Linked DNA regions of Oryctolagus cuniculus. The protein of the gene in region 1 purifies or fractionates together with the protein of each later gene. This does not show direct contact. Links are inferred from orthologs where the notes say so. Each region holds a gene or a part of one and is shown on either strand. Other genes may lie near its edges.

Evidence for each region.
Region 2: the proteins of CDAN1 (region 1) and ASF1B purify together in Homo sapiens (co-immunoprecipitation; 5 studies listed by BioGRID and IntAct, counting the BioPlex papers as one, with this or other methods). This does not show direct contact. The link is inferred for Oryctolagus cuniculus from reciprocal best matches to the Homo sapiens genes CDAN1 and ASF1B.

Annotation. Positions count from the first base shown.
Region 1 is NC_091443.1:65,740,913-65,744,707, forward strand, and holds part of CDAN1 (codanin-1), read right to left. Parts: coding exon 3,690-3,795; intron 3,262-3,689; coding exon 3,172-3,261; intron 2,590-3,171; coding exon 2,514-2,589; intron 2,232-2,513; coding exon 2,026-2,231; intron 1,800-2,025; coding exon 1,679-1,799; intron 1,541-1,678; coding exon 1,394-1,540; intron 1,240-1,393; coding exon 1,073-1,239; intron 837-1,072; coding exon 749-836; intron 544-748; coding exon 454-543; intron 265-453; coding exon 210-264; intron 17-209; coding exon 1-16. UniProt on the Homo sapiens protein: May act as a negative regulator of ASF1 in chromatin assembly.
Region 2 is NC_091447.1:62,994,031-62,998,521, forward strand, and holds the start of ASF1B (histone chaperone ASF1B), read right to left. Parts: upstream 2,930-4,491; 5' UTR 2,817-2,929; coding exon 2,708-2,816; intron 1-2,707. UniProt on the Homo sapiens protein: Histone chaperone that facilitates histone deposition and histone exchange and removal during nucleosome assembly and disassembly. Cooperates with chromatin assembly factor 1 (CAF-1) to promote replication-dependent chromatin assembly.

The DNA.
Region 1 (3,795 bases):
AGCTTCCGGAGTTCACCTGCAGCAGGGAAGTCCAAGTTCCTAGTCCCAGAAACCCCTCCCATCTCCAGGCATCCTGAACTTGAAGCTGAGGCACTGGGGGAGTGCCTCAAAACAGCACGAGACATCCGGGAGCTAGGCCAAGGGGGCCCTTTTGGGTCTGCGGGCAGGGACGGGACCATGGGTGCTGGGGGAGGGCGCGGGACGCTCACCAATGTAGGGGCAGCAGGTGTAGAGCAGCTGCTGGTCCACCACAGGCACACTGTCCTGGGGGAGAACAGGCCAGTGTAGGCAGGCAGGCGGGCTTCCTGTCCCCCCAGCAGGCCCAGAAGCGGCCCGTCAGGAGGAGCTGATACAGGGTAAGCCCATCCTGCCCGTCCTGGCTGGGTCCTCCTGGACAGCCCACTTTCTTTACTTCTTGGACTTCCCGGGACTCTGGCTGGACCCCACACTCACCAAGCCATATTCTGAGGACACTGCGTCCACCTGGAAGCCATCTGACTGATCCTCTTCCGAAAAGAACAAGTCCTCTGGGACCGTGGGAATCTGGCAGAGAGGAGGCCATCCGAGCTGCAGGCGGCACCGCGGGGATGCGCAGCCTCCACTCTGCCTGCTTTAGGCGGCCGGTTCAGAGCAACCTCCTCTGAAGCGACGGCGCACCCTGGCCCTCTTGTCAACTCGCATCTTCTGGTCGCTGCCGCGCTAACTCAGAGGTCTGCACTCCCAGCCTCCCCCTCCTCCCCCGGCTCACCTGGAAAAGCCAGCCCAGGACAGCGAGCAGCAGCAGCTTGTTCAGGAAACACATCTCCCCTTCACGCTCCTGCGCCAAGACCAAGCTCCTGCGGGGCGAGTGGAAGGTGTGAACGGTCTCACTGGAGGATGTCCCCAGCGGCAGACCTAAGAGGGGCTGCTTCTGTGTGGGCAGCTGGCATCTCCTTGCTCTCCTCGTCCTCCCCCCCAACACCCAGATTCCTTCTCTGCTGGGCCACAGAGGAAAAAGGAAAGGGCAAACGACTGCCCACTGTCTGTCCCTCCGGGTGATGGCTGTCAAGGGCCACAGCCCTTCTCCACTCACCGGTGCAGGTGCAGCAGGAGACTAAAGATGCTGCGGTAGTAGTCCAGCAGGGGCACGATGTGGTCAGCAAAGGACAGGAACTCCACCAGCCAGGGCACGGTGAGCACAGCCCGGCGGGCCCGCAGCCCCTGCCACAGCAGGGTCCGCACATCCAGGACCGGTGGGACCTGGGAGAGGAGGGCTGGTCAGAGGGCGGGCACCTGGCGGGGCCGGGCAGTGCCTTCTAGGCCGCCTGGTTTCCAGAACAGCCCAGGAAAGCAGCCAGCGCCCGAGCCGACTGGCCCTCCCGGCTCCCTCTGCCAGGATCTCCCGCCCATTCACCTGGCTCCTGAGGGCCAGGATGGAGTCCTGAAGCTCACGGGTTGGGGGTGGTTCAGGCCCGCGATATGGCAGGAAAGCCACAAAGCCCAGGAATTTGGCCAAAAGCCTCAGGCTGAGCAGCACCATAGCAAACTGTCTCCGTTCACCCTGTATGGAATGAAGGGAAATAACAGGTCCTACGCGCAAGGCTTCTAGAGCAATTCCAAGCCTGTCACCAAGCGTCCTTGGAACACACTCCTCTGCTTTGAGGCCAGACCCCGCACTGCCCGCGTTCCGCTTCCTCACCTGCCAGTCGACATCTGCCTCCCCTTCGTCATCATTAGGCTCATGCGGAGGCAGGGTGAGGCCGTTGAGCTCTCTGATCTTCAAGCTCAGGCTATCCATAAGATGCTGATTAAACTGGAAGCTGGACGGGAGGGGAGAGCAAGAAGAAAAAAAGAAGAAATAAAAAGGCAGTGGAAGAGGTTCAGGCAGATCAGCACTGAGAGGTGCCCTGGCAGGAAGGATTAATGGGGGAGATGGGAGGCTGAGAAGTGGGATCACCCACGCCAGGGAGAGAATGGGAAGTGAAATGGAGGGGCAGAGTCTAGGGATCTCTGCTTCCTGCCCTGCAAAAGGTGGGGCACCTCTACCTGCTGGCGCTCAGGATGAAGTCTCTGAAGAAGCCTTGACAGCCCGGGAAGGTGGGGGGTGGGCAGGGCCCCCCACTGCTCTGAGGGGCCACAAGTCGCTCCTGTAGACGCCGCAACCGCCCCAGCTTGTCAGCTCCCAGCATACTGAGCACATCTGGAGCTTCGCCCAACACAGTGCCCCCAGCACCACCTGGGCTCTGACACATCTGGGCAGGGCGAGAGAGGAGCGAAACCAAAAACAGTGCATGGGAGACAGACCGAACAAAATGAGAGATGAACATCTACAGAACGCCTACTCTGTCAGCGCCTGAGGCAGCATTGAGGGAGGGCTTACACTCTTGTTTCAGAGGTAAGGGAACAAACTAAGCTGAAAGGATTTGCCTAGGGGCTACGAGAGCTGGGATGTGAAACCAGGCCTCTTAACCTGGGCCCTTCCTACCACACCAAGGAAAAGGGTGGGGAGATGGTGCGGGCCAAGGCGCTGTTACCTGGAGAAGCTGTTTTTGGAAAAGTCGAACAAAGTGGCTGTGGCTGCAGGCTGCCGAGAGCTGGCCCATCATGGCTCTAGGGAGGAAGAGTCAGGAAGAGTGTACAAGAGGGAGGCGGGGAGACTGCTGAGAACAGGCCAGCCCCTGGGCTCTTCAGCCTTCACCTGCCACAGCGGGCCTGCCCAGGGGTATGGGCAAGGAGAGGGGCACTGCCCTCAGAACCCAGGGTCTGCGAGGCTAGAGACAAACCAAACCCAGCAAGCCATCGCTGCCCCCAGTAACTCTGCAGTGGTCGCCAAGAACCAGTGAGCTTCCAGATAGGAAACCCACTCTGCCGCCTGCTCATCTACCCAGACCCAGCATCAGGGCGGCCCAAACTAGACGACGCAGAAAACAAAGGCTGGAGGGTCTGTCCAGTGATTTGGGTCAAAACAAGCAACTTGGATTACAAGCTTTGTTCTTTTCCGAGGGCCTGCCATTAGCAAACAAGCAGAAGGAGCTGGGAGACACACCCCTCCAGAGCGGAGGCAGGGCTGTTGGTGCTGGAGGTGAGGAGGTGGGGAGGACCGCAAAGCCTCCTGCCATCATCTCCCCACATGTCACGGAGCGCCCACTGGCAGGAGAGGAAAGACCCGGTGACCAGCGGCGGAGCACCCACCTGATCCTGCTACCCAGGCCCTTCTCAAAGTCCCAGCCGGGCTCCTCGTGGTGATCTTCCCATTCTCGAAGCACCTCATAAAACACATCCCTGACAGACACACAAGAATCCTGATCAGCTGAGGCATGGCTGCTGCTACCTCACTCTTCTCACGTGGAACACTGAGGGCAGGACTCTGCCCAGTCCCATGTCTTAACCTCAAAGTCCCTTATAGGATGACAATGTCACAGACCCAGCACAGCACACCACAGGCTCACACCCTCTGTGCACACTGAGAGGTAGTCCTGCCCAGGAACCCTGAGATTAAAGACCCTTAAGAGGGCCTGCTAGGCTCAGGGATTCAAGTCCACGGGCACAAAACAGAATAAGGTCAACTGGCCCTTGGGATGGCGAGGAAGGGCCTGGTGGTACCAACCCACTGGTTAGTGCCAAACTCCCAGTTTCTGTGACAACAAAACAACTGCCTATTCCAGAGAGACTGCCACCTACTCCCTCCCAGAGTTCCCCTTTCCCATCACCTCTGCTTTTTGAAAGTATGAAAGGCTCGGTCACTGGAGAAGTTGGCACGATTGTCAGTTTCCGGCTGAAAGGAGACAGCTTGAGCAGAGGGTAGCATCACCAGAG
Region 2 (4,491 bases), on another chromosome or scaffold:
CAATTCAGGGCCAGCACTATGACGTAGCGGGTGAAGCCACCGCCTGCAGTGCTGGCATCCCATATGGTCGCCAGTTTGAGTCCCGGCTGCTCCACTTCCAATCCAGCTCTCTGCTGTGGCCTGGGAAAGCAGTGGAGGATGGTCCAAGTCCTTGGGCCCCTGCACCCACATGGGAGACCAGGAAGAAGCTCCTGGCTCCTGGTTTCAGATCAGCACAGCTCCAGCCGTTGCAGCCATTTGGGGAGTGAAACAGCAGATGGAAGATCTCTCTCTGTCACTCTCCCTCTCTGTAACTCTATCTTTTGAGTAAATGCTGATGGAAGAACTCCCTTCTCTCTGCCTCTGTGCCTTTCAAGTAGAAGAAATCAACCATTAAAAAAAATATAAAAACGCATAAGGGCCAGTGCTGTGGCCTAGCAGGTTGAGGCACTGCCTGCACCACTGGCATCCCACAGGGGCACTGGTTTGAGTTCCAGCTGCTCCACTTCTGATCCGGCTCCCTGCTAATGTACCTGGGATAGCAGCAGCGGATGGCCAAGGGTTTGGGCCCTTGCACCCACGTGGGAGACCTGGATGGAGCTCCTGGCTTTGGCCTGGCTCAACCTTGGCCGTGTGGTCATCTGGGGAGTGAACCAGCAGATGGAAGATCTCTCTGTAGCTCTGCCTTTCAAATAAAATAAGTTCTTAAAAAAATACCTACCAAATACAGGACATAACTGTATACACACAGTCTATCTAACTTCTGAACACGATTAAAGGCACGTCAATTACATTTTGTTCTGATCCCCAATTTTACAGGCTGAACCCCGCACAGGATACACCTCTACTCCGTATGACAACAAATGCAAAGCCAATGCTATGATTAAACACACGTTAAGAAAGTGATGGCCGGTGCTGTGGCACAGTGGGTTAAAGCCCGGGTCTGCAGTGCCGGCATCCCATATGGGTGCAAGTTCGAGTCCCGGCTGTTCCACTTCCGATCCAGCTCTATGCTATGGCCTGGGAAAGCAGTGGAAGATGGCCCAAGTGCTTGGGCCCCGGCACCTGAGTGGGAGACCTGGATGGAGCTCCTGGCTCCTGGCTTTGGATCTGTGAAGCTCCAGCCGTTGCAGCCATCTGGGGAGTGAACCAATGGACAGAAGACCTATCTCTCTCTCTGTAACTCTACTTTTCAAATAAATAATGAAACAAATATTTAAACAAGAAATCATTGTCGTTGAAGAATCTGTTTCCCATTTGTATTTATCTGGGAGTGACAGAGGAGAGAGACAAAGGCAGGCGATGGGGGGGTGGGGGGCAGAAAGAGCAGGATCTTCTACCCGCTGGTCCACTCCCCAAATGCCAACAGCTGGAGGTGGGCCAGGCCACAGCCAGGCGCCTGGAACTCCCCGTGGGTCTCCCGCGTGGGCGGCAGGGGCGCACAACAGCGCGCAGCAGCAGGAAGCTGGGTCGGAAGCTGCGCGTCCAGGACTCCAGCCGAAGCGGCGCTGCGATCCGGTGACCAGGCGGTCCGGAGCCGCAGTCTTCGAGCCGTACTGCCCGTGGCCTTGGCCTCGCGGGGCGCCTGCTGTTTCAGCTCCCTGAGGGGCTCCCCCGCTCCCCGCAAGCACACGCACCCCTGATGTACTCCGTGCGGCCCCTGGGAGTCAGGGGGCCCCCGACTGGGGGCTGGGAGAGGAAGAAGGAACTCAGAGGCGCCCCACACCAGGGTTGCCCAGGCTCCTGTCCCCAGACATCACGGCCCCAGCGACGCCCCGCCCCCCGCCCGGGACGCGCAGGGGGTCAAGGCGGGGGCTTGGCTCCTGGGCCGCAGGGCCCGGGGCGTCGCAGGCACCCACTTCTCAGATAGCGCCTGCTTTTAAAGCAGGCCTACGGCACCCCACCCGCGTCACCTGGGAACTCAGACGAGGGGCCCCTCGCCTCTCCTGCCGGCCTTTAAAGCGAGTCTCAACCCCCGCCAGCTTACACTTTTATTTCCGCCCTGCGTGTCCCAGAGAGCCTCCAGCCGGCTTACTCCACAGTCAGCCACAGGCGGCGGCCGCCCCGCGGGCCACCCCCCTGCCACCCAGCGGCCTCCCCGGCTCCGCCCTGGAGCTGAGCGCTGGGTGCACGCAGGCCTTGGCCCCGGCTGACCCCGGCGTGCGCAGGGCCCGGGGCTCCGGGTGGCTGCTGTGCCCTCCCGTGCGCCACGACCACCACCCCGCCGCGGGCCCCGGGCGCGCCCACCGCCCACCGGACGGCGTCGGGATAGGGAAGCCGCGGGAAGCCGGTCCGGGGCGCGCCCACCGCCCACCCAGGCCCACGGTCGGACCGGGAAGCCTCGGGAGCCGGGACGCCCCTCCACCGCCACCCCGGGGGTCGCAATGACCCCCGGACGCGGTCATTTAAACACTGGGCAGGGCACGGCTGGGGCGGACACGGGGGCGAGGAGGGCGGCAGGGGTGGGGAAGAGGCAGGGGGCGTGGGGGTCTCCGCCGGTGGATGCGCCTCTATCATTAGGAAGCGGTGCCTGGGAGGAGCGCCATTGCAAGAGAGGGGGGTCCTGGGGTTTGGGAGGGGGCGATGGGGGAGCGGGGGGGGCTAAGCGGACGGAGGGAGGGGGCCCCGGGGGGCTTCGGCCTGGCCACGGGGCGGCTCTCCACGGGGAGGTCGGGGTCAGGGTCGGCCCAGGGCTGGGGTGGGGGTCTCCGCACGGGTCCAGCCTCACCGTCCGCCAGGGCCTCACTGCACTCGAAGCTGATCTCGAACCGGAAGGGGCTGTGGAAAGGGCTCGGGTTCTCCAGCACCGACACGTTCAGCACGGACACCTTGGCCATCGTGTCGCCGGGAGCCGGGGTCGGGGGAGCGGGCAGAGGGGCAGCGTCACCGGCGGCCGCTCCCGCCTCCTCTCGCCGCGGACTGCAACGCGCACCGCGTCCGCGCGCCGCCTTCAAATCGCCGGCTCCGCCCTCTAGCCAATCACCGCAAACGCTCCGCGGCGGCGCGAGCGCCCCGTCAGCCAATCCGCGAGCGCCGCTGGCGCGCGCCCGGACTCCTCAAACCAATCCGCGGAGCTCCCTCTCCGCACGCGCGCGAGGGAGGCGGGACCAGCTGTGGGCTTCTCGCGGGGTGGCCGCGGGGAACCAATCCCCAGCGTCTCCGACTCGGATGGCGGGGGCGGGGATGGGCGGAGTCAGAGCCCGGCTCTCGGCCAATCCTGAGGGTTCCCGCACAGGCGGGGCCCGCCCCTTCTCGCAGCTTTTCCGAGAGACGCATCCTTGAGGGAGCAGCACCGCCAACGGCCGAGCGGTGGCGCGCGGCGCTCGCTTAAGAGCGTGGGAAGGGCGGGTACTCGCGGCCGCCGTGATTGGCAGGCAGGAGTGGGGCGGGGATAAAGCAGGCTTTTGGAGACCTAATTGGCTGAGGTGGCTGTGGGGGCGGGAGCAGAGGAAGGCGTGTCTGAGGATTCGCGGGAGAGGAGCGGAAGTCGGGGGCCGGCGCGGTGGAGGAGGCGCGGCGGGGATGCCGGTGCGTGTGTGCAGGTGGGCGTTTCGGGCCGGGGGCTCCGGCTGCTGAGGCCGTGCGCGGCCTGGGGGGTCTGCGGTGAGCGGACGCGGAGTCCCGGCCTGGGGAGTGGCGGTTCGGGTCCCGCTCCCGCCCAGTCAGGGACCGGACGGCTGCGGGGCCAGGGCCTAGGCGATCGTATTTCCAAATGTGTTATGGTGCATCCGAATTCCACCCCGAGCAGAGTTCTTAGCACGATGTTTTCTAGGCGTTTAACTAAACATTTATTTATTCTCACCTTGGTGAATTTTTTTTTTTTTTTTTTTTTTTTGCGCCGTCCGTTCCCGACCCCGGGGAAGGCCGTACCGGGGACTCCGTCTCCGATGCTGGGAGGAAGAGGAGCTGGCTGCGTGATTGTCGCTGAACCCCAGATCCCAGCGCCAAGCCCCAGAGGCGTATCCTGCTTAGCGGGGAACCGAGATCTCTGCAGTGGGCCCCGAGGCCCCGTCTCGCGCCTGTCACCCTCCCCGCCCTGCCCCTGCCCACCCCCGGGCTCCCTCCTGCTGCAGGGCCTTGTGCTCCCTCTGGGGCCGGCGCTGTGGCGCAGTGGGTAAAGCCGCCACCTGAAACACTGGCATCCTATATGGGCGCCGGTTCGAGTCCCGGCTGCCCCACTTCCCATCCAGCTCCCTGCTGTGGCCTGGGAAAGCAGGAGAAGATGGCCCAGGTGCTTGGGCCCCTGCACCCGCGTGGGAGACCCAGAGGAAGCTCCCAGCTCCCAACTTCCAGGCGTTGCAGCCATTTGGGGAGTGAACCAGCGGATGGAAGACCTCTCTCTCTCTGTCTCTCTCTCTCTCTCTGCCTCTCCTCTCTCTGTGTAACTCTGACTTCCAAATAAATAAATATTAAAAAAAAAATCCAGGATTGTGTGCTGTGTTGTACAATTTCACAGAAATGTTGGCAGCCCGGGCCTGACACCAGGCCTGTTTGCAAGGCTGGCCAAGGCTG